Linked DNA regions of Astyanax mexicanus. The protein of the gene in region 1 purifies or fractionates together with the protein of each later gene. This does not show direct contact. Links are inferred from orthologs where the notes say so. Each region holds a gene or a part of one and is shown in the gene's direction. Other genes may lie near its edges. The genes, in order: polr2m, polr2j, rpap1 and gpn1.

Region 1 (7,569 bases):
TATTATTAATTGTATTATTTTATGGCCTCGGTATATCATCTTAGCCATAATGTACTACTATTTTGCTTTATTATATTATTAAAAAAATATATCTTATAGCCATAATATATTATCATGTAGCTTCAATTTCTTATGTTATGGTCTCTATACATTAACTTGTGACCTCAATATATTAAGTTGTGGCCTTAGTGTATATTATGTAATGGTCTCAATGTATTATTTTGTGGCCTTAATATAACAAGTTTTGATCTTAATATTTTAACATGTGGCCTCAATATAATATATTTTGCCCTTAATATATAATTTTCTAGCCTCAATATATTATCTAGTAGCTTTAATGTATTGTTTTGTATGTTTGATATATTATCTAGTGGCCCCAATATTTTATCATATCTCTTCAACATATTTTATTGTGACCTCAATATATTGTCTTGTGGCCTCCAAATATTATTCTGTCCTCAATATATTATCTTGTTCCTTAAACTAAACTATCATGTGGTCTTAATAGGACCAACAAACAGTTCTAATACATACAAATAATTAAATAAGTAATTAAATGAATAAAAACCTAAGCATATAAAAAAGATAAAAGAAACAACCACTCACAAAAGATTAATCAGACGTTTTAGATCAGTTATTTAGTCAATATATTATATTGAGGCCACATGTTAAAATATTAAGATCAAAACGTGTTATATACACGGTCCAAATTCTATGTACAGTTGTATTCAAAATTGTTCCATCCTCACTGCAATAAAGTGTTTTTTACTTTGGTCACAATCAAATAAAGACTTGAATAATAGACAAATATACTTCTAATATACCAATTAATAATTCTAATAATTCTAATATACGAATAAATGTACTTTTTGTGATTTCCTCATTGACAAAATTATTTAACCTCTTAAAGATGACCACTTTTTTGAGAACAGAAGTTTCAATCAGGCATTGAAAGGTAGGTGATTAGAATCAGCACTTTTCGAGCAGCACTTAAACAGATTTAAAATGACTTTAAAAGAAGATACTCAGCTCCATCTAGACAGTTAATGGTGTCATTGCATCAGGAAGTCCAGGGAATGGTCAAATAAATCTAGAGAATTGCTCATCATAAGCAAGGATATGGATATAAAAAGGGAGCAAAGACATTAAACACACGAAGAGACACAATTATAAGCATATTTTGCAAGTTTAACTGCTCTCTGGTACCTGAAACGAAATGTGGAGAAAAACCCCTGGCTGACAGCTGAGAAACTGCGACAGGACATCAGAGGAAGGTACTCAGGTTTTGGCCTAGACCGTAAGGCACACACTACGAGAGGAAGGCCCCCGTGCCAGAACTGCTTGTTTGTAGAAGAAGGGCTGGGGGATTCTGGAGTGACCATTGCAATCGCCCAACTAAAATCCTTTAGAAAACCTCTGCCCAAGAATGTCAAAGGAACTGGAGGCCTTTCCTCGTGAGGAATGGGCTAGGATACCTGTAGATCACTGCAAAAAACTTGTGTCAAACTATGTTTCACATCTGAAGGACGTTATTACCGCCAAAAGAGAGTTATACTAAGTACTAATGTTGAATCTGACTAAAGGAGCTGAATAATTTTGACAATAAGTCACAAAAAGGACATTTGTTGGAATATTAGAAAAAAATACTGTTGTAATTTAAGTTGCATTTGTCTATTATATAAGTATATTTGATATATTTGATCTGATTGTGAACAAGATAAAAAATAAATGTTAAACTTGCTAAAACACTACTGCAGTGGGGGTTGAATATTTTTTAACACAACTGTAGCTTTAACATTAAACAGAGTTTAGTATTTTTAATATTTAATTTTTTGTGTATATATATATATATATATATATATATATATAAAAGTTAAAAAGTTGTCAAAAGTTTGGACAGATGATCAGTAATAATTATTCCTTATTTCTATTATTTACAAATTGTAGCTTAATGCAGACATGCAGTTGTGCAGTCGACAAACAAACACCTGATTTAAAAACACAACACAGGTGCTTTGGAATAGCTTTAACATAAAACAGAGCGTCCAACAGTTTCTCATTCTTTCAACCCCTTCAGCTAGTTAATACTAAATTGTTAACCTTCAAAACTTGTCTTGGAGAGCATCATAAACACATGCATAGCAGTCAACAATCTCTCATCAAGAGGTACACTATCCAAAAGTAGCCTTTTATAGGGCAGTGTAAGAAGCACTTTAATGCAATTTAATCTTGTGGCAAGACTTAGTATATAATCAGATTACAGCTACAGCCATTTACATATCAGATATAATTATTATAATACGGGGTAAAATATTTTCTATCAGTGTATTTTCTAATAAATACATTAAATATTTTAAATTGTGTTCCATTGCTTACACAGTCATTTTTACATTAGAATAGAATTCTCTGGAGCAGAAAGACAAACATGAATCTATTTAACCATACATTTGTGGGTGGAGCATGAATATGTTAATACATTAAATTATATAATCACACAGCTTTACAAAAAGCTTCACAAGCACTTCTAATTTCTTTCTGCTTTTCCCAGCCGGCCTGACGCTCAGGCCTCTGAGACTCCGGTCCAGTCCAGGCCCGCCCCGTCAGCGCCGAGACCCCCGAGCAGACTGGACTACAGTTTACTGCGATACACACCGCTACAGTACAGCAGCATGCTCACGGGGCCATACACTCGGGACACTGCTACTAGTCCTACAGAAAACACCACACATTCAGATTCAGCCCGGCCCAGTGATGAGGGAGTGACCTTATTATCATCATCATCATCCTCCTCCTCATCCTCCCCAGAGTCAGAACTGTCCTCCTCCTCCAGCAAGAGCCGGGCCACATCCAACCCATCCAAGATCTACACGCCGTTTATGAGGCTAATGGAGATCACAGCTAAACTGAATGTAGAATAAGCTAAAGTGAAGTGAAGGGTGCAGTGCCCTGAATCAGACAGTAAATATGTATTTGTATATATTTTTCCTTTTCATTTTGTAACATAAATTAAATTATATCCTGATCTGTGAATAACTTTTATAAATTTTATTTTAGTAGCATGTGTGGATGCACTTTTTCTTTTTTGTTATTTTGTTTACAAATATGTATATTTGGCTTTATGGTATGGAATTTGGAAAGTCTGTATTACTCTGTATTTTACAGTTTTATACGTTTATTTTCAGTTTCCTAATGTTCTGGTTACAGCTTTGAATTACTTTCTTACACAAATAAATAATAAATAATATCTTGTAGTATAATGTAGTAGTATTCATATTATAACAGGCTCCCTGTAAGTCAGAGGTGTGGGGTGTAATACAGCGCTGTGATGGTCAGTAATTGGCTGGATTATTAGAAGTGTGCCAATGGCATCAGATCATTTTCACTGCCAGAAAGAAGCAAGAGACGAGGACCAAATCCCTCCACATTGCCACTGTGTGTGTTTATAAGGGTACAACTTTAATAAAGAGATTATCTGCACAAAGTGTGAGAGCTTCTGACCTTCTGTTGCTGGAAACAAGAGCAGGAATCTTCATCAATAGATCACATAAAGAACCACTGCAGCGCCGTCTGGAGGACAGAAGCTGGTAACGGAACATCAGAAACCTAACTTTATAGTAGGAAGGGATACCCAATAAACTAAATATATGTTATGTTCTACATATTGATACACAGTACAAGTCTTTAATCATAGTTTGGACACACACTCATTAATATTTATTTTTTATTTGTATTATTTTCTAGATTGTAGATTAATATTAAAAGAATGCATATGCAATTATGAAGCAAACAAAAACAAAGTGTTAAACAAGCCAATTATGTTTTATGCTTTAGATTCTTCAATATTTGTAAGAAATTTGAAGAAGCTAAGTTTTGATTGCTTCACTATAAAATATACGTGTAGAAAATAAAGAAAACACATTAAATGTAAAAGGGAGTGTCTAAACTTTTGCCTTTTTGTTTGGTTTGAGTTTGAGTTATTGATGTATATTTATAGATGTAAATAATTTAACCAAAACCTTTTTCTCGAACAATTTCCATATATAAAAATGCTTCACTATTACGAAAGCAAGTGTGTAAGTTGTAGGACACAGCAGACATAGCAGTTTATATTTAATTTTATTTAACTTTAATAATTCTTTAGGAAAAGATTTTAAGTGTGTTTTATTTATTATCAGAGAAAGTAGGAGTGAGCGTGTAGTTTGGCGAGAGACTTTTATTTTAATATACACTTTTAAGAAAACAGTAGGGTTTTTTGTTTTAGTTTTATTACTACTAGCAAAACTAATATTACATAAATTATTGGTACATTATACCACTATCATTACTTTTATTTAATATATATATACGTGTGTGTGTGTGTATGTTTTATTTATTCTCTCGGAGAGAGCAGGAGAGAGAGTGTAGTTTAGTTTGGGACTTTTATTTTGAATTAGCAGTGGCACGCTTCACTGTCAGGTAGTGGCGGTGGTGCTGTGAGCGGGTTAGCTGTGAGGCTCTGAGCTGATTCACTGTAGAGTTTAATATTAGAGTTTATTATAGAGTTTTTCTGTATTTATTAGATTAATTCGGGTGAATTCAGCGCTCTGCAATGATTCTTACCGCCGCTGGAGGTTTCAGGCTGAGTCCGCCGCAGTGAGGCGAGGTGAGGTGGAGATGTCCGGCCTGGCGGGAGAGCTGAGCGGCCGCAGCAGAGAGGAGCTGCAGGAGATCCTCAGCAGACAGGAGAAGATCCTCCTCAACAAGTCAGAACTCTGTATTATATTTATACACAGAACCAGTCAACACTTTACACACCTTATATTCAGTGCTTTTATTTTTATTATTTTCCTTCATTGTAAATGAATAATGAAGTAATCAAGACTAGGAAGGAACACATAACATGTAGTAACTTAAAAGTTTTTAAACAAACCAAAATACTCTGTGAAGCTCTTATCTGGGGAGCTGTTAACTTGTGGTTTATGAGGCTGGTAAATCTGATTACCTTATCCTGTACAACAGAGGGAACTCTTGATCTTCCTTTCCTGGGGTGGTCCTGATGAGAGCCAGTTAAATCATAACGTTTTTGATGGTCTTTTCGACTGCACTTGACGATACTTTCAAAGTTCTTGAAAAGAAAGTATTTTTTTCTTTACTTAGTTGAGTAGTTCTTGCCATAATATGGATTAGAACTTTACGTAAATAAGGCTATTCACCGTATAATAACTCTACTTCTACATAACTTTACAACTGATTAATATTGAAGACTTGAAAACAATTAAGGGAGTTATGTAGTAAACAGTAAATAAGTGTTTTTCCTCAACATTAATCCCCTGATCTAAATCTGATGAACTGAGATGATGATTTGAGGTGATTTAATTGGGATGAGCTGGAGCTTCACAGCGTGAAGAAAAAGCAGCAGCTATTGTTCAGCACCTCCAGAAACTCCTTCAAGACTCATTCAAAACTATTCCTGAAATTAAAATACCAAGAGTGAGCAGATCTGTCCTTTAAGTTAAATGTGGCACTTAGAAGAATCTAAAGTATAAATCAGATTCTGTTTTGTTCACCACTTTTTATTTACAGAATAATTCAGCATGTGTTCCTGTATATCTTCATTGTATGTCTTCCATTCTAAAATTACAATGTAAAAATCATAAAAGAAAATAAGAAGAGGTGTGTCCAAACTTTTGACTGGTGCTGTATATCCCCTCTGACTGCTGGAGTTTGTTATTTAGTGAAGCTCTTATCAAGCTCAAGCTGTAGTATCTTTTACAGCTGATAATAAGTAATAATCCGGCAGGTGATTTTAATCGTGATGATGTCAAGTCACAAAATAAAATATAAGCAAAGCATATAAATTGGGATGTGAGCTCTATGGGAGCTCTATGGGGCCTGTCAATTGATTCAATAATTATGGATAACTAACGATTCGTTTAATATTCTGTTAATCTTTTAATCATTTGAAATATTTTGGTTTATTGATTATTAATTGGATAAAAGGAAACATATATTAATATAAATGTAACATATTTTCCAGATATTGTTCCGATATTAAAAAATTTAGAGATCTAATGTTGTAATTTTAAAAGTAACACACAGCCTACCATTATTAAAAATGTTAGTTTACATGAAGAATTAACCTGAGATTAACTTTAATCTCATTAATATTGTTATTTAATAATACAATAGTGTATGTAATGTGAATATACACTCAGCTGTGACACTTTAACGCAATGTCAGGTCAAAAAGACCTTTAAAAAAGGGTTTAAATTTCTTATGAAAATTTACTATATAACTGCTGCTGCATTGAAGGTGGAAAGGAAAACTTGCTAAACGTATGTAAGAAAGGGTCACAAATTACACCATTTCCCACTGTGGGAAATAGCTGACTCACCTGGCTGCTCTTCACAAACACATTTTTCACAAGAACTTTCAACATGATTACATAATGAACATGTAGTTCATTATTATTTTTAATTTTTTCAGCTCTTAGCTCCATTCAGCTCCAGTTATATAGCACTCACTCGCGGGCTCCATCTAGAGTTTAACATTCTTTTACTGATATAAAAGTGGGGGCAGTATGAGGTCAGACTCTTTATAAACAGCTCTGGTAAAGCAGGGAATGCGTTTTGGACCCGTGGTTCTCTCTTTCTCTGTAATTCCATTGGTAGTATGTGGCCGCTGCTTCTGAATCCCAGTCACCGACTGGGTCAGATATCTGACGTGCCAAATATTTGGCAGGCATCGCCTCAGCGAGCATCTTTCAGCAGTTTATACTACACAACTGTGTGAGCACCGAGAGATCCCTGATTTGCCTCTGAGCAGAGTTTTTGCGATCAACAAAAAACTGTCTGCGACTGAAAAACTGGGCTAAAATCATGTAGTGTAAACCTGACCTAAGGTTAACGTATTCGCTAAACATAAGTGTGATATAAATTAAATTTTAATAAAAAACGCGTTCATATTTTGAGATTTTACACTGTTTTTATCAAATGAACTAATAGTGTTTGTGTGGTTTCTACAGGAGGTTCGTTCAGACCCTTCCGGATAAGGGGAAGAAGATTACAGACTTTGTGGAGAAGGTGCGGCAGGCGCTGGAAGCTCTGGAAGAGGAGGAGGAGAAGCAGGCCAGTCTATCCGCTATTGGAACAGAATTTCAGGTCCGGTATCAGCAGGCTTTAGCTCAGCGCAGGAATGCTGAGCGAGAAACTGTTAAAGAGGAGGAAAACTTGCTGGAAACCGGCAGAACGAATCAGCCAAACACAGAGGGCGTCATGGAGGCGTCCACACCTGCTGGCGGTGCAGAAGATCTGGTGGAGGCGCTTGGACGGGTCAATCTGTCTGAGGAAAAGAATCGTCCTCTGAGAGACACTGTTATTAACTCTCCACCTAGAAACGTCTTCAGTGCCACACAGTCTCAGAAGAAACCACATTATATAGAAGTGTTGGACAGAGCGGATGCAGATAAGCAAAAACACAGATTTAAACCTAATCAGTGAGTAAAGACCCTCTCTCTCTCTCACTTTTACAGTTTAGCTTTTAGCTAGATACTGTTTCATCAGTGATCACAATCTCCAAAACAGTAACTTT
Region 2 (8,540 bases), on another chromosome or scaffold:
CATGCATTTTCTGTGCACTCCTCATGTATGCAGTTTTCACAGGGGGATACAAAGATATGTTTGTGTCCAAACCCTGCTTTTATTCCCAAAGTCATTCAGCCTTGTCTCCCTTTGGAGCTGCAGGCATTTTATCCACCGCCTTTTACCTCACATAACCAGCAGCGGTTAAATGTCCTGTGGGAGCGCTGCGTATCTATGTGGATAAATCTAAAAGCTTTAGGAAGAGTGATCAGCTTTTCGTGTCTTGGGCTAAGCCGTACACAGGGAGAGCTTTTACTAAACAAAGACTATTGCACTGGATTTCAGAAGCGATCGCTTTGGCATACACCAGTAAGGGGCAAACAGTCCCGCCTGGCATCCGGGCACACTCCACAAGAGGCATAGCGACCTCATGGGCGGTCTTTAGTGGCCTTTCTATTCAGGAGGTGTGTGCAGCGGCGAGCTGGTCCTCGCCTCATACGTTCACCAGATTTAATAAACTGGACATAACAGCACCTACTATAGCACATGCGGTGCTGAGCGCCGGCTCAGGGAACACTCAGTCTCCTGAGTGTTAGCTGGTTGACAGTGTGTTCAGGCAGGCTTGTCTGACAATACGGGAGTTAGGATATCCCATAGTGAGACACCGAAATGAATGCTTGAAAGAGAACTTTAGGTTACTTGCGTAACCCCGGTTCTCTGATAGCATGAGTGAGGTGTTTCACCAGACCACCCTCCTTGCAGTGTGAAGCGAGGAAGAGATGTGCCTGTTTTTTGAATGAGGAGGTGACGCCGTATTATCTACGGGGGGTGGGAGCACGAGCATCACAGCTGTCAGCCAGCCTCATTGGCTGGCGTAGTGGAATAGAGCTTCTGAGGCATACGCGGAAGGGGCGTATCCCATAGTGAGACACCTCACTCATGCTATCAGAGAACCGGGGTTACGCAAGTAACCTAAAGTTTTATATGGGGCGAATAGTAGAAATCAGTCGATTTTAGAGGTTTGACTGTACTAAAATTAGTGTTGCTGGGTAATACATTTTTGAGCTGGGACTTTATTATTATATTCTGATTCAGTATACATAACTCTATAATAAAAGTAACATTATAAAGAAAAATATATTTCTTTAAGCCACTGACAGCATGTTTTATACTATAGGCGAACAGTAAAAATCTGTAGATTTCAGAGGTTTGACTGAACTAAAACTAGTGTTGCTGGGTAATACAGTTTTGCGCTGGCACTTTAATCAATATATTCTGACACAGGACACATAACTCTTTAATAAAAGTAACATTATAAAGAAAAATATATTTCTTTCAGCCACTGACAGCATGTTTTATATGAGGTGAATAGTAGAAATCAGTCGATTTCAGAGGTTTGACTGAACTTAAACTAGTGTTGCTGGGTAATACAGTTTTGCGCTGGGACTTTATTATTATATTCTGATTCAGGACACATAACTCTTTAATTAAAGTAACATTATAAAGAAAAATATATTTCTTTCAGCCACTGACAGTATTCTGGCACCTGAGTGCGTAGCAAGGCACACATCACCAGATAGCTAAACACTCGAGCAAACTTGAATAAAGCACCAAACTTCAGTGATGAAGGAGCATGAAGTAATCTTGTCCGTTTAATGAAGCTGAGTACTTCCATACAGAAAGTGTGAAACTGAAATGAAATACACAAAGAATACCTTCAGTTCCAATTAAATAATAAGCACAAATAGTAAGTAATATACGGTGGCCGAGAAAGCCCAACGCAGTGCAAATTGAAAAGCGCTGCAAAAGCACAAAACACATCCATCAAAATTACAACACAGGCGCAGCAAATAGAAAAACGCGCTGCAAAAAGAAAAACGCGCTGCAAATAGAAAAACGCGCTGCAAATAGAACCACAACACAACGGAAGTGAGTCACAACACAACGGAATTTTCCCGGGGGACCTTAAAAGATGCTGTACCAGCTGTATACAAAGGACAGTAACTTAAGTGGCAAACAAGCTTCTGAAAAGTAAGTAATGTTTATTACCTGTGATTACCACGGTTGTGTGCATATTATTAAAAGTTCTGCTTCACAAAACGCCTTGTTTGCCACGTATTGTCCTTTGTACACATAGTGAAGTCCGAGACGTTACTGAAGACGCAGCTTAGCTGGTACAGCATCTTTTAAGGTCCCCCGGGAAAATTCCGTTGTGTTGTGACTCACTTCCGTTGTGTTGTGGTTCTATTTGCAGCGCGTTTTTCTATTTGCAGCGCGTTTTTCTTTTTGCAGCGCGTTTTTCTATTTGCTGCGCCTGTGTTGTAATTTTGATGGATGTGTTTTGTGCTTTTGCAGCGCTTTTCAATTTGCACTGCGTTGGGCTTTCTCAGCCACCGTAGTAATAGCCTAAATGAACAAATCTACTTACAAACAAAGCTTCTTTAGAGGGTTACACAGGAAGATGAAGCTGGATACACAAGAGGACTTAACACATGCGCCTCTCTTACTAGTTTGAAAGAAAATGGTCGTTCTAAGCATGTGACCAAAAACCATGTGACTCAACAACCAATGATAAAATTAACATCCAAATAAACATCCAAATAACAAGTATTATAAAAGTGGTCAGCAGAGGGTGCTATAAATACAAAAAAACAAATTTAAAGCATGAACCATAACAGACAGCATGTTTTATAGGAGGTGAATAGAAAAATCAGTGGATTTCAGAGGTTTGACAACTAAAACTAGTGTTGCTGGGTAATACAGTTGCGTGCTGGGACTTAATTTTTAATGGATAATTTTTTCATGTGTAGCTAGCGGACTTTACAGCGCCCCCTAATTGGTTCAATTTGAAAAAGTAAAAGCTTTTTTTAAAGTAAAGCTAATTTATGCTGTGGATGTGTCAAAAATTTTCTAATTTTTTCATTTTTTTTTTTCAAATTTTAAGAGGAACATAGATCCTATGATCCTGCACATATTTCCCATTTGCTTGTAATAGCTCCGCCCAACAGGAAGTCGACCATATTGGAATTTGTAATATTTTTACAAATTTTCACGAACTCATTTAAATTGATTAAAAATTCCAAAAGGATTATTGATCGGAGAAACAGTAACAAAATGTTGGGCAAATGATCTACTAGAGACGCAACAATAAACCAAAGTGAAACAATGACACGGTCAGAACACAGATGCTTGAAAATTCATGAATCTTGGCAAAAACACAAGAGGCTGCATTACATACGTTTTTAGTATTGGTAGGACTGACTCCACCCAATAGGATGTCGGCCATTTTAAAATATCTGCATTTTACACACATTTTTTCGTATGTTGTCAAACTACTCCCAGGAACTTTGTTTAATTCTCTTGGTATTTGGCAAAAATAAACTTTGAACATATCTGATTATATCTTTCACACTTATATCCGGGACCCTCCGCTGACGCGGCCGCGCGTTCTCGGCGTCGGGGACCCTCCGCTGCCGTGGCCGCGCGTTCTCCGCGGCCGGGACCTTCCGCTGCCGCGGCCGAGCGCTTTCCGCGGCCGGGACCCTCCGCTGTGTGCTGCCTTGATGTAATTCCCTCAGTTTTAATAAATTATTCTGTTATTTTAATAAATAATTGCCTCAGTTTTAATAAATTATTCTGTTATTTTAATAAATAATTGCCTCAGTTTTAATAAATTATTCTGTTATTTTAATAAATGTTTCCCTCAGTTTAAATAAATTATTCTGTTACTTTAATAAATAATTACCTTAGTTTTAATAAATCGTTCTCTTTATTTAATAAATAATTCCAATAGATTGTTCTGTTCTTTTAATAAATAACTCCCTCAGTTTTAATATTTTGTTACTTTAATAAATAATTCCCTCAGTTTTAATAAATTATTTTGTTACTTTAATAAATAATTCCCTCAGGTTTAATACATTTGTTACTTAAATAAATAATTCCAATAAATCGTTCTGTTAATTTAATAAATAATTCCCTTCTTAATAAATCGTTCTGTTGATTTAATAAATAATTCCCTCAGTTTTAATACATATTTTTCTTTGAAATAAGGGAATGATTTGAATACAAATTAATAAAATTGTTTCACTTGTGCAACATGTCTCATTTCTTTTATTGTTGAGATTGTGTAAATATGAATGAGAGTTTGTTTAAATGTGTTCTTCTTGTTGGTATTTACATAGATGAAAATAGCAATTTACTAAAATAAATAGGAAAACATATTTAACTGGAACATACTTGGGTTGTGGGGGCTGCTGCTAAATGGTTGTTAGAATTGGGTTAACTGCACTTACATTAAACTCTAAAGTAAAAGCAGCAATTGCTGTTCTGGACAGTATGCAGATCTCATTAGTTTTAATAATGAAAAGGTAGGACATTTTTCATGTTGTTTCTGTAACTCACTCTGAGGAATTCAGAGCACTACAGAGCACTGACTGGTGTGTCACAGCAGGACCGCGTAGGGTACTACAATCAAAAGTGTTACATTACCGAATACTACATACTGGGCAGTGTGTAGTATGCAGTACATACTAGTGCAGTATGCAGTACGCAGTATAGTAGTATGCCATTCCGTGATTGGTCTGGGAGTTTACTGCGCCGCAGTAAACAGTTTTCAGGAGAGAAATCTGTGTAGATTTTTTATTTTATGTTTTATTAAGTTTAAACATAAAATAAAGCTTACAATAGAACTTTACAGAAATTTACAATATTCTAGTTTTAAAAACACCAAAACTACCCGCATATATTATAATACAGTAAAGTGTACTCCACCACCAACATAATTATTATTACTGTCCCCTTCCCTAAAATCCAGTTAATTAATAATTAATACAATTATTATAAAGGTATTGGCACCAATAAGTGTTTCTGACACTGATTTTGTATTCATATTTAAATACCTATTATCAAAAGCTTAGTCTTAAGGAAGAAAAATTGTGATTTATCATGATTAATTGCAGAATTCTATTGTGATTAATTGGATTTTTCATTTTAATCGATTGACTAATAAAAAAAAGCTTCACTGTCCTCTGCAGGTCTAACCATTTTAGACCTGAATTTTGTTCCAGTGATGATAAAAATATACAATACATGTAATAATAAATACATGAATAAATAACATTAATATGTATTAGAAGTATGTTCTTTGTTCACTTCAGTGAAATTATTTGTTTAATGCTATATTTATTCTATATAACCTTTTATTTTGAAGGGCGTTACCCATATCACGTTGCGCAGGATGTGTGAACCCAAAGCGCGGCTAAGAGATTAGCACTTAGCTCTCACTCACAGGGAAGATGAACGCTCCGCCGGCCTTCGAGTCGTTTCTGTTGTTTGAGGGGGAGAAAAAGTAAGTTTATGAGACCTGTGTAGTGTAAGACTGCCTATCCTCTTTAGCTAATGCTACTTACCACGTTACCGGGCCTTACTTTCCCTATCTAGGTTATAGTTAGCTGAAGAGCCAGATAGCTAGGTTAGCATCTGGGGAAAAGGGTATTTTGTGAAACATCTTTGAGTTTAACTGAATTGCCCCCATTTTTGTGGTGTAAATGAACTTAGTCTGATATGTTTCCTGTTTTTCCCCTAAGTTTCTCAATTTTTAATATTAATAAGTAAGTTATATGAGTAAAATCAACATTGTTGTTTTTTTCTATAAACTACGGCCACCATTTCTTCCAAATTCCAAATTAAAATATTGTCATTTACAGTATTTATTGCAGACAATGAGAAATGGCTGAAATAACAAAAAACGTTTCCGAGCTCTTAAAACTCAAATAATGCAAAGTAAACACGTCCATATTATTAAGTGTTAAAGAGTTCAGAAACGAATATATGGTGCAATAAGCCTGGTTTTTAATTACAGTTTTTATGCATAATGGCATGTTCCCCTCCAACAGTCTGCTTTTGGATAACTTTATTCCAGTCCTCAAAAAAAAGTGCAAAAAATCAAGCAGTTCAGTTTGGTTTGATGGCTTGTGATCATCCATCTTCCTCTTGATTATATTCCAGAGGTTTTCAATTTGGTAAAATCAAAGAAACTCATCATTTTAAGTGGTCTCTTTATTTTTTTTTCCTAGAGCTGTGTATACATACATACATACATTCATCACACACAGGAAATAAATCAATTATTTTCTCCTTCTTCACAACCAGTTTACACACAATGTAGTGAAACTTCAGTTAACTCATTTCTATTGTGCACTAACTGTAGGCTAATTTAGTGCTTGCAGCATTACTTTATTACTCCACTCCTTACACATTTACTGCGAGATTCAACTGAGATGGGTGGTTTGGGATGAACTGAAGGAAAAGCAGCAACTATTGTTCAGCATCCTTAGAAACTCCTTCAAGATGCTGAGAAAACTATTACAGGTGACTCTACCTCATGAAGACACATAGTGTGTGCAAAATCTGTCATCAAAGCTAAATGTGAATAAATACAAAATCATTTTGCATGTGTTCCTGTTTATTTTAATGTCTTTAATATTAACATTTACAATGTGAAAGTCATGAAAAGGAATAAAACGCATTAATAAAAAGAGGTGTGTTCAGATGTTTTACTTGTACGGTATATATTTTTAAATTGTACATCACTTGTTTCTAGTTCATGTATATATTTATTTTATCTTTCCTGTTGTTTTATATGATTTGACCTGTAAGTATTGTAATATTTTTTTTATTAAAGGATTACAATTACAAAGGATACCAAGGTGCCAAATGCCTGTTTGTTTACATTGAACAAAGAAGACCATACACTGGGCAACATCATCAGATCGTAAGAATCACTTTATTGTCCTAAAGATTTGGTGTGTATACTAGGGTTGCAGCGGTAACCGGTTTCACGGTATACCATGGTATTAAAATGCACGGTTATCATACCGTGTGTGTTTGCTTATTACCGGTAAAACGCAAGCCAGCGGAGAAACTCACCCGCGCATGCGCAACTCTGCTCCGCTTCAGCTGCTCAGCACACAGCGGTGAGAACGGCAGAAAGTGCATCAGACTAAACAAATCTCCATCCGCCTAAAAAAAGGCTAAACTAAAATCAGCAGTGTGGGACTATTTCAGAGACCCGCCGAACGCACCCGAGGATGGTTTTCCGATTTATAATCAATGTGGCCGTAAAGTCACAGCTAAAGGTGGACATACGTCAAACCTGTTCTCCCATCTCCAAGAACACCACCCCGCCGTGCAGCGCAAAGTATGTGTTTAGTTTATAATTTTAATCTGAACATAAATAAAATCTCTTTGTAGTCGTGCACAACCCATGCGGTAAGCGCCCGCAAAAGCGCTGAGTTATCCGAAATTTGGGCACGCAGGTACAGGCGTGAAGTGCGTGCTACGACGGATTCACGTGTCCGTGTAAAGGTGCTCGCCGGACTGGATGTGAAAGACGCCATTCATTTACATGCGTTAATTTTCAAATTCTGACGTGCCTGTTTTTCATGTGTTAAAACCAGACTCAGAAATAAATCCCCTCTATCTGGTTATATACCAACTTGGCAGTAAAACGGACGTTTACAACAGTTGTTGATCAGACACTGACCCAGGCTCAGTTTATCAGATATTAAATAATTTAAACTTAAATAATTGTACTGAATAGTTTAAACACAGGATCTTTACTTCTTAGAGGACATGTAATGTGTGACACCTGTGTTTGTGTGTGTGTGTGTGTGTGTGTGTGTATATATATATATATATATATATAATTATATACACCCTTAATGACCTTAAGAGTAGTGGAAAAACCTGGTTTCCTTTACCTAATGGTGTACAGTTTATTTTTTTTAAGGAGACATTATCTATATAGTTGTTCCAGGTTTCTACAATAAATAGTTAATTGAACAAAAACCTTTATTGTAATTTCTTTAAGGGTCAGTTTAATAATATATGTAACAAACTGTGATACCGTGATAACCGTGATACCGCGGTATTTTCTGAGACGGTTATCATACCGTGAAAATCTCATACCGTTGCAACCCTAGTGTATACACACTGTGTCTAGATGTCCTAATTACCAATTTTGTTTCTGTTCTGTTTTTTTTTTTTTTTTTAATGCATTATATTTCTGTTTTCCTTCTGTTTAACAGACAGCTACTGAAGGACCCTCAGGTGCTGTTTGCTGGGTATAAAGTGCCCCATCCACTGGAGCACAAGATTGTGATCCGTGTGCAGACAACACCAGATTACAGTCCTCAGGAAGCTTTCACAAATGCTATCACTGACCTCATCAGTGAGTTGTCACTGTTGGAAGAAAGGTTTAGGGTAAGTTTACCACTGGTGAATAAGTATCTGCATCTGTATCAGAGTCTTAAACCTAAAAATATTTATACTGTTTGACAGAATCAAATAATGTTCACAGGTGTTCATTTGGTATGATGATTGCAAAGAACAGCCAGTTCTAATTATTGGCTCTACTGTTGCTGGATGATATGAAGTCCACAGAAGCATCAGTATAAATATCACTATAATTAATGAATATAGTTAAGGACAACTACAACAAATAAATGTCCAGTTGTCAGGGGAAACTTTAAATATAGACGTGTCTGAGTGTGGGCAGACAAACTGAACATGTCATTCAA
Region 3 (8,574 bases), on another chromosome or scaffold:
ACTGCTCCGGCTCCTCCACAGCCCCACGGTGTGCCTGGAGCCGTACATTCGACAGAGGGAAAACCGGGAGGTGTCCAGGGACACCCGCGAGTGGAAGGTGTGGCGAGAAAAGATGGAGGAACAGCTGGAGCTGATGGTGGCTCGACGTCCTCCTTCAAGCTGGCAGCAGTGCTCACAGTCTTGTACCATGGTTCCATAGTTCTGGGTCAGGTAATCGTCCAGCAAGAAGCAGCTGGAAGACGAATTGTCGCCTTGACCTGTTCCAGAGTTCCCCAAATTCATCAGCATCGCTTCCGAGTAGCTGGGGATGAGCTGGCGGTTTGAACGAATGTGCCATTCCAGCTCTGTGCTGTCCACCGTGTCTCCTCTCGGGATGCCACACCGACCGTTTCTCGCGGGAGCAGCGTCCTCTGGAGAAGGACTGCTGTTGGTGTACTCCAGTCCGAAGAGTTTCTCCACCTGGTAGTGCACAAAAGCCGTGCGGTACTCTATTAAAACACGAAGAGGCCAGGAAAGCATGAGGAGAGCAGTCAACCAGAAAGAAAACTGCGAGGTATACCAGGGTAACCTGTCAGGATCCACATAGGTGATGAGATGCTCTTTAAAGTCCACGTTCTTTAGCTGCATCCCTTCCCGTGCTTCCATGTAGTCATCCAGACCTTCAATCTCTGAGAAGAACCTGGCCCTTTGGTTGAGGTACGCGTTCTCAGGTCCTGCTCCCGCAAAGCTAAAGCACTTGCTAAAGCGTAGCCTCGTCGCCGTGTGGCTCTCCAAGCCACGCAAGTCCCTTGAGACATCCTTCATCCCACAGCGACTGTAATCAAACTCTCCTTCCGCCACGTGGGTGTTGACTCGCTCGTGGTAGACCTGTGTCGTGGTGTAGGCGTCCCCATTGCGGTACCGCGTGACCTGCCGCGTCCTCCGCACGAAATGGTAGCTGATGGCTTTCCACCAGACGCACGGTCGAGCCTGCCGCATGCGCAGGACTCTTTCGTAGACGCTGTCCACGTTGGCTTTGTACTGAAGCTCGCTGCGGGCGCGGCAGTGCCAGCACTCCATCAGGTAGACCGCGTAGAGCATCAGCAGGAAGGCCAGGGGGATGTAGACGTACCCGTCTGAGCAGGGGCTGTCGTGGTAGATCATGGAGCGTCCTCCTCCGTCTCGGAGCGAGTTGATGGAGGTCAGGGAAGAGGTGCTGGAGGAGTCAAAACTCAGCTTGGTGACGCGAGTGAACTGACACCAGGCCACGGCACCCAGACAGCTGTACATCAGCAGAGACAGGAGGAGACAGCGCCAGTGCATCTCGCGGCACATGGATGCACTCAGGGACTGCTGCACTGGCATTTGCTGTGGAGACAGAGAAAGAGAAAAAAGAAAGAAAGAAGAGAAAGAGATAGAGAGAGAGGATACAGAAGATCTTTAAGATACTCACCCAGATTCAAGTGTTCTGAATTGCAAAGAGCTGCAAGACAAGCACAGAATCAATTGCCTAAAAAGATAAACCTCATGGCTTTAGTTAAGAGACCCTTCAGGGTCCCATCAGCCCATTGATCCTACAGTGAGTCCCTGGACGTATGCCTTTTGTCCTTGACTGAGGTCTTTTTTTATATCCTCCACCACTTAATGATAAGACCTGATGAGGCATGACCAAACAGTTAAAAGTTAAACAGTTAAAAAAACACAGCAATAAGCACTGGCTCTAAGCACATCTCTAATTTTAAGCTTAATTACTTACATTCATACCTAAATAGTTACAGTATATTTAATCAACGCAAATACTTGTGTGTTTATATGCAACATCTCTAGGTTTAAAGTCGAAGAAGATACACTATCCCAAAAAGACTACTAGTCGTTTTACTTTTGATGCAAGTCACTTGCAATGGGAGTGAGTGCAGTCACTGTTAAAAGGTCCCAAGAAGTTGCCTGCCTTGCCCGGTGGTACAAGTGAGGTACCACTTTAAAACAAGGCACCATTATAAAGGATTTAGAAATAATGTATGAGGGATACTTTATCAATCATTAAATAATAGTTTTAATGCATAAAACGTGTTATATTTTGTTTGTATTTTTCCATCCAGCATTAACATATCTAATAAAATAATATAGAAAGTCAATTTAGATATTTATTGTTATTGTATGGTAATATACACCACATTATGATTATTGCATAATGATTAATTTAGTTGTCTGATTACTTTGACAGACAAAGTAGGATTCAACAGTATAAATGTAGAATCACTATTAGACCACTGTTGTATTTCTATAGATGTGTTGTAACTGCTTATTAATGGTTTATAAAGTATTTCCAACCTAATTAATAACATTAATAAACTTTATTTTAAATAATAAACCTTATTTTAAAGTGGTACTGAAGTGATGGACATGCTAACTGCAAATTATTTTACTGTATGTCAATTATCAATCAATTGTCAATCAAGTCAATTGGGCCAACGCTTAGATAGTTGTGCCACTCTGAAGTTAACCACTTAAAAATAATTGGTATCAGACTACTGTTTAGATTTGAACATTTGTAAATCAAATTTTATGACTCTTTTTTTGTAATCTAAAGGAGCAGAATCTTTCTATTAATCCATTTAGATTATATTTATTCTGAAGATATCAGACATTACAATTTAGAATACAATTTCCAGTTTGTTGCACCCCAATTGACCCCAACGTAATGTCTTTTTGTCAGGTCCAACAGTAGAGAACAGAGGTTACTGTGAGCTTAGCCAGCAGATAACAGCGCTTTTGATATTAATAAGGGTAAACAGGCTTTTAAGGGAGCAGGACAGGCGGTGAGGCATCAATAATGGAGATGCCACATGAAACAGAATGCTTTAATGTCTCTAAAAGTCAGCAAGGCACATATTCACTGCGCACTGCATATATCCCCTGTGTAAAGTCTAATATTTCAGAGTGGAAGCTTCTATTCTTCCTCTTTTTGCCTCACTTAGAAATGACTAAATATGCAGTTCTGGAAAAAAAAATAAAAGAGCACTTAAAAATGATGATTTTCTTTGATTTTACCAAATTGAAAACCTCTGGAATATAATCAAGAGGAAGATGGATGATCACAAACCATCAAACCACCAAACTGAACTGCTTGAATTTTTGCACCAGGAGTAAAGAGGCATAAAGTTATCCAAAAGCAGTGTGTAAGACTGGTGGAGGAGAACATGTTACAATTGTTACAATTCTGGGGCAGCAATTAAGATTTAGCAGCTAATCTCTTGTTTTTACTCCACAGCCTAACAGTATATGTTGAATTTGAAAAAGTAAGCGAATCCTTTAGAAAAGTTGTTTTAAAACTGTAGTATATGTACCATCTGTAGTACACAAAGCATTTAAGGGTGGTACATCACTATCAGAGCTGCACTGTTCATCCCAATCAGCTCTTCTTCCTGCCCCGCCCCTAAACCCATACATCACCCAGTGCTCCTCCGAAACTACTCTTCCCCTTTTCTTTTGTTTTTTTTCTTTTTTTTAGCATTTTTCTCATTTGAGCTGAGGGTGGAGTCAGCTAAAATTAGGGGATTTGGTAACCCTTTAAAGAGACCCATAATATTATGATAAATAAATAAATAAATTTATCAGCAAGTTTTGTGGAGGGGTGCAGGAACATAACTAACCTGGAAAAAAATCAGTTTATTTTTTTTTGGTTGATTGATTTTGTTGAAATCTTAGCATAAATCTTATAGCCAGCTTATTATAGGTTATAGCCTTTATTCACTGGCAGCTTCCTGAAGGTCTACATTATGAGGTTGTGTGACACAGAGTGCTGCAAAGGACTAAAATAGGCTTCAGCATCAATGACAATCAATAAGCTGCTCGCTTTAAAGTTATCTATCATAGAGAACAGAGGGGTCTGGAGTCAGGACTCGCTGTAATGTTGAACATATGATAGGAAAGGGTTCAGAATTGTCAGAAAGTGACTAGATTTAATAGTATTTAGTGCTACATATAAAGCACGGATAGTTATAATATACCTATAATTACCTTTACTACTGAAAAATAAATGTGAGGTTTAGTAGAGTAGTACAGTGGACTAATCATCCCCCTTATCATAGTAAAAAGCCCCCCAGGCTGTCTACAGTCTCCCCTGCACCCTGGTGCTGATGCTGGAGGATGCTGATGCTGGAAGATGCTGGATGTGTCTCACCTCCTCCAGCGCATCCAGGCTGGCCGGGGTGTCCGCGCCGCTGTTCGGGCTGCTGGGCGCCGTTTCCTCCGCAGTCGTATCACTTTCCACATCTGGAGACAACATCCTGAATCCGCAGCTCAGACATCTCACTCAGACCCCCGCATCAGCTCCATCACCCGCCCGCCGCTCCGCTCCCGCCTCCTGCCTCAGGGACCGGGAGGGAAACCCCGCTCAGACTGAGAACAGACTGCGGAGGATTCCCATCAGAGAGAGAGAGAGAGAGAGAGAGAGAGAGAGAGAGAGAGAGAGAGAGAGAGAGAGAGAGAGAGAGGGAAGGATGGAGAGAGACAGAGAGAGATACAGATAGAGAAAAAGAGAGAAAGAAAAAAGAGAGAGAGAGAGGAGAGAGAGAGAGAGAGAGAGAGAGAGAGAGAGAGAGAGAGAGAGGGAAGGATGGAGAGAGACAGAGAGAGATACAGATAGAGAAAAAGAGAGAAAGAAAAAAGAGAGAGAGAGAGAGGAGAGAGAGAGAGAGAGGGAAAGAGAGAGAAGGAGAGAGAGAAGTAACTACTTAACAGATATTACTGATTAAGATAATAATTCAGAGATAAATACATAAATCATATAGCTTCAACACATATCTACACAGATATCCAAATAGTCAATTACAATTGCAAATTAACGTGTAATTAACCTTATTGAATTGTGCATGTATATTTGAACTGTTTATGTACTTTTTTTGTGTAACACTAAACACAAATATATATATATATATATATATGATAGGTGGATAAATGGGATAAATGGGAAAATGGGATAAATCAGATATATATATATATATATATATATATATATATATATATATATATATATATATATATATATATATATATATATATATTTATATATATATATATATATATATATATATATATATATATATATATATATATATATATATATATATCCTTTGTATTAATGACTGTTCAGCCCAATTATTTAAAAGCTTAAAACAATAATTCAACTTAAACCAGTATTGATTTTATATTAGTATAGCAGTGTCTTTTTTGTGTGCATTACAGATAGAAAAACAGCATTCACATATTTTTTCCATCACTGGAACATCATTTATTTCTGATAGGTTTAATCTACAATGCAGAATACACATTAAAAACAATGAAATGGGTGATTTTGTTTCCTTAAACACATTTAGAGATGTATAACGTAGGTCTTTTATTTTGAAATGCAGAAGCCGGAAGTTGTTCGGATGTAAACTGTAGCATGTGTGTGCAGTGTTCTGCAGTCCTGTCTGAACTGAAGAGGAGCTAAAGTCGCTGTTTTTGCACTAAAAAAGAGGTAATATAGTGTTTTATATGTTTAATCAGCTGTGAGAGAGACTCGTCCTGAGTTTTTGTACAATAACCCGACAAGCTCTCACAGCTGAAACACTAACGTTACCGTTAAAAAAAATTAACGTTGAATCAACATATAATTTCTAAAATCGGTTGGATGGATGGGTGAAAAAGTGTTTTTACTTCTATTTGCAGTAACTGTTTTTTATTTTATCACCAGTTATTCTCCATATCTGGGGGAATGCTCATGTTCTATTAGTTTTACTGTTTTACTGTGTTTTTCAGATCAGATGTTGAATCAGATTGGTTTCTTTATACTCAGATTTACTACAGTGATTAAGTTTATTATTAACACTGTTAAACATAGGATTTTCTACTTTTAGCTACCTAAAATAGTAGTAATTAAAGCTTTTAGTTTGTAACTGTTCAGTTCCTACTTCTCAGAGATGTAGATTCAGACAGATAAATATATTTTGCATTTCAGGGCATAGGGGAGAGTGGGGTGAGTCGTGCCTGTCTTTACTTAAAGGGAGTTTAAAGCAAGGCCTTGACAGAAATGCTATAAAAATAAAATAAATATGCATGTATATTAGAATGTTATGCATCCCTGGGAACAATCACGTTGGATCAGAAATAGGGTATTTAAGAAATACAGCTTTCTAAAAAAAGTATTTTGGTGGCTTTTCTTGCCCCCGGGGTAAGTTGTACATTTGGAGTTACATTGGTATACATTAGGGTAAATTGCGTTATTAATTATTGAATAAAACAGCGTATTTTGATCTCAGAAAATGTAATGCTAGAGAAAGCTAAAAAATGCAAACAAAATCACTAATTTAAGTTTTTTTTACATTATTAAATTCCACTTTTCTACAACACTCAACACACTATATGACTTTATAACACTCTACAGCTCTAACTTTAAGTTAAGTGTGCTTACTTGTCTGGCAAGGAGGCTCTCTTCTTTGCAGAATGAGTAAAATAGCTTACTCTATAAAAAACTGTGATCACTCATCAAATTTCTTTTATGGTTTCCTAGAATCACCCCACTCTTCCCTACAGTTTAATTCTTTCTCTTCCATACAATTTTAAGCATTCTAAATGTGAGCTATGGTTTATTATAGTTTATTAAACACAAAATCCAACATTGACTCAAAGTTAAAATATCAGCTGGGCTCCTTTTTTCTCTTTTGCTCCTAAACTTCATACTGAAAACTCACTCTTTCCTGTTAAATGACTGAATTATTTGCTTGTTTGTCAGAGACTCAGATCCAGCTGTAGGGGATGATACAGCGCCCCAAGCCCTCCGACTCGGAATCGGATCTGCTGCGGGAGCAGGAGGAGTTCCTGTCCTCGGGGGGTCGGCCTGCGGCTAACGTAGCTAGGAGACCCGAAAAACGGCGAGGGGATGAAGCGGATGGAGACGGAGGAGAACCTCAGGAGAACCAGAGAGATGTGGTGACCATTACAGGTGAGCTCCTCCTCTCAGTTCTGTATCAAACAACCCCCCTGATAAAAATGATGAATCACCACTCTTGGCATTAAGATAATAAGAAAGGAATATAATTATTGTTGTCAGTCACAATCGTGTTTTTAGATTCCTTAATTCTGAGCAAAAATATTAGGGAATATCTCTGTAATTGACAGAAAATCTGTAAAAAAAAAAACAAACACCTCCATCAGGTTAAATCTGCTAATTAAACCATGGCTCCAATATAAGAGATGTCAGTTGACACAAAGTAGAGGACTATTAAACTTCTTCTGAGCAGGAGATTGATGGTTCGAATCCTGTTCATGCAGCTTGCCTTCAGCTGCCGGAGCCCTGAGAGAGCACAGTTGTTCTTGTTCTCTCTGGGTGGGTATAGTACAGTAGATGGCGCTCTCTCTTTCCCCTCATCACTCCTAGGGTGATGTCAAGTGTTTTCTTTATATTTTAATTTACTAATTTACTACCTATTTGTATTCTCACTTTATATTTCCCCTTTTTATTATAAATATTATATTCTCTATATATGCCTATATATGTCTAGATACTTTTTTCTTTACATAACGGAGTTGTTCTATCAGTATAATTCTAATTTAGTTGAAATTAATCACAATTAGATAATCTTTATAAATTTGCATAAGCAAAATATACTCTTAAATTATTTTGCTTTACATATAAGTTTGAAGACACAGTAAAAATGTTATTTCTTTACTTCATACATCAATTTTAGCCAGTATCATTAGCTCTAGTCTAGAACTGGGGCTGTGTAATGCCGATATTTATGTAATTTATATTTTACCGCGTCACACACAATAAAAAACAACTGTTGTAATTTACAAATAAATTTACAAGTAAATGGTATCAAAGTGGTTCATTTTACCAGTAAGTTCCACTACTTTATTTTTCAGATCTTCCGGATGATCTTCCCGCCCTGACTCCAGCCTCAGCAGCAGCGCCGGCTCCTCCCAAAAAATCTCGCTTTAAAAAGGAGCGAGTGCGCTTCGAGGATGAAGATCCGGAGGAGCTGCTGGATAAACATGACACTCACATCAGTGCCGTCCTCTCCAGGATTGTTGTGAGTTAATCAGCAGAAAAAAAGACTGTTTCTCATTGGCTCATTAGTTTTGTGCTGTTAAACAGTGTGTTTGTGTTTCTGTAGGAGAGAGACACAAGTTCAGTCCCGGTATCATTCCCCACTTTTACAACCACAGCTTTCCCCAAAGTCCTGCATCGATCCACAGCAGAGACACAGGTGAGGAGTCAGCACACGGCGGGTAGAGCACTGAGATAAAGACCTTAAAATCACATAAATTAAAGCACTAAAATTAAAATACTTTAATTTTCCTAAAAATCGATAGCACATCTTATAATCCGGTGCTCCTTATGTATGAATTCTATCAGTCAGGTATTAAGGAGCAGTAAAGACACTCCACTGAAGTACAGAGTTATACAGGAGTTTCAGTTTAGTTCTCCAGCACTGAGACGGGAGCAGCATTAGCGTTAGCTAACTGTGCTATGCGCTAGCTAGCTCTTTTACCATTAAAAACCATCGCCCTGGCTTACCGGAACACACAGGGTTCCTCAGCGTAGCACTA
Region 4 (7,558 bases), on another chromosome or scaffold:
CAGTGTGTGTGTGTGTGTGTGTGTGTGTGGAGGGGTTAAAGAGGTCGTATATTGCGTCAGTGTGTCTCCTGTGTATCCAGTATGTATAAGATGTATCACATGTTCAGAGAGATGATGACCCTGCTCTTCACTACAAAGAGATTATTGATCTGAGTGTTTCATTTAATGATTTTATAGTAAATTAGATTCACAAGGTAAAATGATGTGATAAAGTGTGGCCACATGATCATACAGAACACAGTGCAGCTCTGTTTCTCCTCCAACACCTCTTTATATCTTCACTATTAACCCTTTAAACACCAGCACTGAGCACCACTGCACATATTAAATAATTCAGAGTGGATACAGAATTATATTTAGTTTGTGACTAAATCATTGATAGTAGACACTGAATATTTAATTCTAGATCCTGAACTATTCCTAGTGGATGATAAATAATAACTCACAGTACATACTGAATAATTTACAGTGGGTGCTGAACAATTCATAGTGGATGCTGGGTAATTTACAGTACATATTAAACTGTGGTTACTGAATAGTTCATAGTATGTAGTAGATAGTTCAGAGTGGATACTGAGTTATTGCTTTTGGATACTGACTAATTTATAGTGAGTACTGAGTAATTCAAAGTTTATACTGACTAATTAATAGTGGGCACTAATAATTCATAGTGTATACTGAGTCATTTAAAGTGGATACTGAGTAATTCATAGTAGATACTGAGTAATTCATAGTGGGTACTGAGTAATTCATAGTAGATACTGAGTAATTCATAGTTTGTACTGGCTAATTTGTAGTGGATACTGAGTGATTCATAATGGATACTGAGACTTCATAGTGCCCACTGAATAGTTAATGGTCGATACAAAGTAATTCATAGTGGGTACTGAGTAATTCATAGTGGGTACTGAGTAATTCATACTAGATACTGAGTAATTCATAGTTTGTACTGGCTAATTTGTAGTGGATACTGAGTGATTCATAATGGATACTGAGACTTTATAGTGCCCACTGAATAGTTAATGGTGGATACAAAGTAATTCATAGTGGGTACTGAGTAATTCATAGTGGGTACTGAGTAATTCATACTAGATACGGAGTAATTCATAGTTTGTACTGGCTAATTTGTTGTGGATACTGAGTGATTCATAATGGATACTGAGACTTCATAGTGCCCACTGAATAGTTAATGGTGGATACAAAGTAATTCATAGTGGGTACTGAGTAATTCCAAGTGGATTATGAGTAATTCATAGTAAGTATTGAGTAATTAATAGTGGTTACTGAGCAATTCATAGTGGATACTGAATAAATCCTAATAGGTAATGAGTATAATGTGTATAGTAGATGGTAAATAGTGCACAGTGGTGAATAAATAATTATACAGTGAATAAACATGAATATAATAATGTAAAGTAACTGATCTCTGAGTAAAGAATAAAGAACAGCTAACACACACTGTAGTCCTGTAACTGTACAGCAGGGAGGGAGGGGTTTCTGATAAAGTGGCCGGGGAGTGTACAGCAGATAACAGGGGTTATGTGAAATCTGTTTTTCCACTCCGGGCTCATCCTTTTCCTTCCCTATCTGCAGTATCTGTATGAGGGACAGTGACCCCGGTGCAGAACGTCCTCCCTGTAAAACACTCATCATCCTGGAGAACGTTCTGCAGACGCTGCGCTTCTATAAACAGAAACACATAAAAAACATGCAGGAGATATTAAAACCCCACACTGCTGGAAATGAGTTCAGCTTTCTCTCTAAAGTTAAATTAAATCAGTTTTAAACGGGATGTGATTTTTGTTTTTTATTTAGCTACGAAGCTAATGCAGCTAACAAGTCAATAACAACCAATTAGCATAGTGCTAACTTCTGTCTAAATCATTTGATACTTTCCCAAGAAAGTCTATAGACTTAATTATGTGTTTTCCAATGCTGTATTTTCACTGGCCACTTTATTAGAAACAAGCCAATAACAACCAATTAGCATGTTGCTGACCCTCTCCCCAAAAATACTCAATGGGCTCTTTGTTAGCAATGTTTATGCAAGCAGTCAAGTGTGTCTTTGCTATCGTAACAACGGGAAAAGTACACCTTGGGCGTAACGTGAAATAAATAAACCAATCAGAGTGTTATCTGTTTGCTCATCATTCTCTTTAAGAGTAGAGTCAGGTGAGCTCTGTCTTTGGTGGATTGCTATTGTAACGGTGCAGCTACCTGGACGTGTTCAACAAACTCTTCTCAGCAGAGGAAACTGAGCTGCTGGTTGACGCTGTGAAGGAGCTCCAGCAGCTCATTTACGGGAACAGCAATGTTATTTTATTTACTATTCTGTTTATTGTTGATGTAAAAGTTGGGTTTGTGCTGCTGTGTGTTCATGTGTGTGTAATAAGTGGGGGCGTACGCTCGGCTCGGCACAGTGCCTGTGTTACCGAGATAGCGATGAACGTCTGACTGTTGGCGTCTGTCTAGGTTGTATTCAGTCAGTGGAGCTCCTGTGTTTTCTGTTACCAAGATAAACAAGATAAAACTCCAGAAATGTACCTGAACACACCTCATTTCCAGAACACCACGCCCATCAGTGTAGATATATTCAGAAGCTCTGCTGATATTCAAATGAAAATAGACTGTTGGTGGGGGGTAAGATAGCAATTAGCATCAAAACAAGCCTTGCACACCTAAAAAACTCTAAAGGACGGCTGCTTTAATGACTGTATATTAGTGTTCAGTAGATGTTGGCGAGGTTTGGTTCTGGGAACCAAAGCTCTGGGAGCTCCTGTACGGAAGCAGCTGGACCTGCTGAGGAAACATCATCACTCAGAGCTGATTTACCAGAATTATGTGGACTATTCTAAACACTGGAATTACCCCGGCTTTCCCTCTCGCCTCACTTCCTCTCAGAGGCTTTTACACAGACCCATCTACTGCTGTTACACATTCAGAGTTCTTATTTATTAATATGACGAAGCTGAGAATCAGAAAGAATGTATAAAATAACATCTTAAAATAACGTCAGTTACCTGCAAATATTCTAAAATTAGAACTAAAAAACTAGAGTGCATGAATTCCATAGCAAAACTTATGCAGAGGTATAAAAATACATGCAGGTAAAAGTGTCTGTATATGCTATTGTGTCATTGTTTTAATGTGATCTATATCAGACAGTGCTTTTAACAGTTTACGCTCCTAAACTGATATTCATGCTGTATAAAGAGCAGCAGAGCTTCACATAAAGTTTCGGTTTCATCGTCTCCAGCTTCACAGCAGCTATCAAGCAGTTCCAGTATCCGCAGCTGGACTCATCACTGAAAATGAGTTCCTGCTTATTGTAAAAATAACACGTTATTCAGCCACACCGTTTTTAACTTTGTTTTTATTTTTTCTATTCACTTTTGATGCAGCAGCGCCTGCCTGTGGTCACATTTAATCATTTTATTACAAATACTGATTTTTGTCTGATTTTTAGTTTATTAGTTAAGCCTTTCCGTAAATACATTTTCCCACCTCAGGTACAGTCTGATCATAATTTGTCTGTAAATATTTTGTCGAGAACTTTTTCCAATTCTTTTCCTATATATTTTATCCAAATAATGCATTAAAAGTAAGATTTTATTTAAAGGCTTTTATTTTGTTTAAATTGTATATACATTGTATATATATATATATATATACATATATAAAGTATCTCCTCTTGTTTAGATGATGAGTTTTGAACATTTCTGCTGGATTTTCTCAGTCAGTTTTATGAGGTAGAGTCTCCTGGAATTCAGTCTTTTAGTTAACAGCTGTGCTGAACTCATCAAGAGTTAATTACTTGAATTTCTTGTCTCTTAATAAAGTGTTTGAGAGCATCAGTTAAAGTAAAGTAGTGAAGAGGTAGAGTTACAGGTATACAGTGAATAGTGAATATTTGAGTAATGTTCGAATCCAGATTATGAGAAGAAACAACTACTCAACTACGTAAAGAAAAAAAACTTTAAGAAATTGGAAATGAAGTTCAGTCAATTAAAAAAAGAAGAATTTCAAGAACTTTGAAAGTATCCTCAAGTGCAGATACCACAAAAAAGACCATCAAAACGTTATTAATGATGAAACTGGCTCTCATCAGGAAAACAAGGAAGAGCGAGAGTTTCCTCTGATGTACAGGATAAGTTTATCAAAGTTACCAGCCCCAGAAACCACAAGTTAAAAGAGTTTTAGGTTTGTTTAACACTGTTTTTAAGTTACTAAATGAATTATTTATGTATTTCTTTATAATCTGATTGATCACTTTACTATTTATTTACTATGGCGGGTTTATAAAGTGTGGTTTTGTCTCCATCTAGCGGACAGTAGCGGTACTGAGCGGAAAGCTGTAGTCACGTGGTCCGCGGCGCTGCGGTAGTGTACAGCATGGCGGCTGCCGGTGGTTCTATTACCGGGGACGGAGCTCCGGGAGAAAACCCGCAGGATAGACCCGCCGCGGGGGAGCAGGAGGCCGGGGCGGGCGGGGAGAGCGGCCCGCGGGAGAAGCCCGTCTGTCTCATCGTTCTGGGAATGGCTGGATCCGGGAAAACCACGTTTGTACAGGTACAGATACACGAGGGCTATCTCCTCCGGTCCACCTTAAATGTTCCATAGTTCCATTCTGGCGCCTGAAGGTGTTTTTCTATTGCTACTGCTCTATTTAAGGTGGAACGGACAATTCGAAAAGAATCCAAGTTTAGCTTTAAAAATAATCAAAAATAGAAAATATAGATCAGTTTTAGCTTCTCTAAACTTTACACAGAGTGCTGTACATTTACTTCAGCTTAATTATTACACACACATTAATCATTAAATACATGTTCAGAACTATGTAAACACCCGAATGTTATCTGTTTTTATATTAATGTGTTTTAATATTATTATTATCTTCTTTATTTACTTTATTTAACATTTAAACACTGGATCAAAATATGTGAAATCACATATCACACAAGTTTTTTACTTTATTAAGTTCTAATTTAAAGTATAAAATAGTCATTGCAGACTTTTCCAGATTTAAATAAAACTATAAATATAGATATTTTATAAACAGAGGTTTTGGATAGGTATTGGTTTTATATTGGAGTTTAGTTCAAGGCCTGTTAAAACAATAAAAAAATATATATTGTCTTATTATAAATATTATGAACTTTTTATTTTAATATTTTATTTACAGAATAGAGGTGGCGCTTAAATATTGTCACGTTATTTCAGTTTTTTTTATCATAATAATATTCTTGGTGATTTGACAAAACTTTGATTTAAAAAATAATAATAATTGCAATAATAAGTGCAACAAAATAAATACAAATATTTTTAGTTCATATAAATATTACCGTTTTTTTTTCATTTAGTAGAAATAAAATAAATCTGTAAACTTTTGTTTATTTTGGAAACAGTACATTTACCAAGAAAATTGTAGAAAATTATAATAGTGTAACAAAAAAAAAAATCTGATTGAGAAAAGCACATTCATGTGAATTGCCAGAAAGTCTTAAAAACTTACAAAACTGTGATTTCATTTTATTTATGACTTTTTTATGAGGGGCTTATATAAAAAAAAATGTTTAATGTCAGTCTGAATGTCTGAATACTCATCAGAATTAAAATAGCATTATATTAGTGGCATAAAATGGATGTAAAATGACAATAATATTGTTTATCGCAATTATTTATGTATATATTTATTAATATATTGTCCACACAGCAATAATTATTTTGACAGGCCTATGCATGGTATAATATATAATATAATAATAATAATAATAATAATAATATTAATAATTTCTTTATCTTCTGTTTTTATTTTACAGCGTCTCACTGCTTTTCTCCACTCTAAGAATTCTCCTCCGTACGTTATTAACCTCGACCCTGCCGTCCACGAAGTCCCGTTTCCAGCCAACATCGGTAAAAGTAAAATTTTTATCCAATCAGAACAGTTGGATCTAATGAAAGAATATAACACTGCTATCTAGTGGGCGGAGCTTATACGCAAAACTTATTGAACCACTTCTGACACCAATCTTTACATCTAAGCTAATACTAAACTAATCAATACTATTGTTTTTGAAAATTGATACAGTATTACAAAACAAAATGTTGCAATACATTAGTATACAGCCCTGTAAAAAAAGAGAGCCCTTTAAAAATGATGAGTTTCTTTGATTTTACCAAATTGAAAACCTCTGGAATATAATCAAGAGGAAGATGGATGATCACAAACCATCAAACCACCAAACTGAACTGCTTGAATTTTTGCACCAGGAGTAAAGCAGCATAAAGTTATCCAAAAGCAGTGTGTAAGACTGGTGGAGGAGAACATGATGCCAAGATGCATGAAACAAACTGTGATTAAAAACCAACCAGGATTATTCCACCAAATATTGATTATTTCTGAACTCTTAAAACTTTGTGAATATGAACTTGTTTTCTTTGCATTATTTGAGGTCTGAAAGTTCTGCATCTTTTTTGTTATTTCAGTCATTTCTCATTTTCTGTAAATAAATGCTCTAAATGAGAATATTTTTATTTGTAATTTGGGAGAAATGTTGTCTGTAGTTTATAGAATAAAACAACAATGTTCATTTTACTCAAACATAAACCTATAAATAGCAAAATCAGATAAACTCATTCAGAAACTGAAGTGGAATCTTCATTTTTTACAGAGCTGTATAATATCACCCCTTCTAAGTGCTTTAGTACTCTAGTGCTTTGTACGAGCAGTAAGTTTACATTTAGTGTAAAAACTTCAGATCCCATAAAGCTCGGTTCCAGATTCCTCCTGGAAGCTCCGCCCCCAGTCAGTGTTCAGTTTCATCAGCATCTCCAGTCTGTTTTAAATGTTTTAAGTGTTAAATTTAAATATAAAGAGATTTAATAATTAATACTGTTTTGTGTTTTATCTGCAGATATCAGAGACACGGTCAACTATAAAGAAGTGATGAAACAGTATCCTTTACTGCTCTCATACCGACTCACTGTGACGTGACTGATGAGCTCTTATGTTATATGTAGATGTGTTATATTTGCAAATAGATTAATACTTAAAACTAATTTACTCGTTATTTTGTTTAAGTTGTTTCGGAAGATTTTAGAGACGAGACGTTTTAAAATTAAGACATTTTTACACTAATAACAGTCTTTGCAATGTCATATGTTACTTTACAACATGTGTAATAATGCCCTGCTTAGTGCAGTTCAGACACTGACCTAGTCTTAGAGTCTCTGTAAAACACCAAATCCACCGGAGATCCTATTTAAACCTATAGTTACTCACAGAGGTGGATAGTCCAGCTCCAGAGAGTAAAAATCCAACTGCTTTAAACATCTAAACACCTACCTATCTCTATTTTACTTGGCTGGTGGTGTTTTTCCTCCATAGACTAATTCTAACCATTTGTTTCTTAGCTCTGAATTACTGGGTAAAGTCTATAATGTGAAAAATAATGTGTCTATAATAAAACATTTTACTCCTTTTGTCCTGTAGTGAGAAAATTCCTATGTTTGAATGGCAATTATGTCAATAATTAGTCAACATAATGGATATAAAATG

Evidence for each region.
Region 2: the proteins of polr2m (region 1) and polr2j purify together in Homo sapiens (affinity purification with mass spectrometry; 3 studies listed by BioGRID and IntAct, counting the BioPlex papers as one, with this or other methods). This does not show direct contact. The link is inferred for Astyanax mexicanus from reciprocal best matches to the Homo sapiens genes POLR2M and POLR2J.
Region 3: the proteins of polr2m (region 1) and rpap1 purify together in Homo sapiens (affinity purification with mass spectrometry; 3 studies listed by BioGRID and IntAct, counting the BioPlex papers as one, with this or other methods). This does not show direct contact. The link is inferred for Astyanax mexicanus from reciprocal best matches to the Homo sapiens genes POLR2M and RPAP1.
Region 4: the proteins of polr2m (region 1) and gpn1 purify together in Homo sapiens (affinity purification with mass spectrometry; 3 studies listed by BioGRID and IntAct, counting the BioPlex papers as one, with this or other methods). This does not show direct contact. The link is inferred for Astyanax mexicanus from reciprocal best matches to the Homo sapiens genes POLR2M and GPN1.

What each region holds. Positions count from the first base shown.
Region 1 is NC_064430.1:31,677,818-31,685,386, reverse strand, and holds the start of polr2m (protein GRINL1A), read left to right. Parts: upstream 1-4,445; 5' UTR 4,446-4,653; coding exon 4,654-4,742; intron 4,743-7,003; coding exon 7,004-7,474; intron 7,475-7,569. Other genes in the region: myzap (myocardial zonula adherens protein), read left to right, coding at 2,549-2,918.
Region 2 is NC_064408.1:29,548,773-29,557,312, forward strand, and holds the start of polr2j (DNA-directed RNA polymerase II subunit RPB11-a), read left to right. Parts: upstream 1-5,180; 5' UTR 5,181-5,255; coding exon 5,256-5,308; intron 5,309-6,643; coding exon 6,644-6,733; intron 6,734-8,048; coding exon 8,049-8,223; intron 8,224-8,540. UniProt on the Homo sapiens protein: Core component of RNA polymerase II (Pol II), a DNA-dependent RNA polymerase which synthesizes mRNA precursors and many functional non-coding RNAs using the four ribonucleoside triphosphates as substrates.
Region 3 is NC_064421.1:48,617,948-48,626,521, forward strand, and holds the start of rpap1 (RNA polymerase II-associated protein 1), read left to right. Parts: upstream 1-5,391; 5' UTR 5,392-5,500; intron 5,501-6,754; 5' UTR 6,755-6,777; coding exon 6,778-6,964; intron 6,965-7,887; coding exon 7,888-8,054; intron 8,055-8,138; coding exon 8,139-8,231; intron 8,232-8,574. Other genes in the region: si:dkey-13p1.4 (transmembrane protein 151B), read right to left, coding at 1-1,347, 4,163-4,267. UniProt on the Homo sapiens protein: Forms an interface between the RNA polymerase II enzyme and chaperone/scaffolding protein, suggesting that it is required to connect RNA polymerase II to regulators of protein complex formation.
Region 4 is NC_064421.1:730,766-738,323, forward strand, and holds the start of gpn1 (GPN-loop GTPase 1), read left to right. Parts: upstream 1-4,358; 5' UTR 4,359-4,392; coding exon 4,393-4,569; intron 4,570-5,819; coding exon 5,820-5,913; intron 5,914-6,914; coding exon 6,915-6,954; intron 6,955-7,558. UniProt on the Homo sapiens protein: Small GTPase required for proper nuclear import of RNA polymerase II (RNAPII). May act at an RNAP assembly step prior to nuclear import.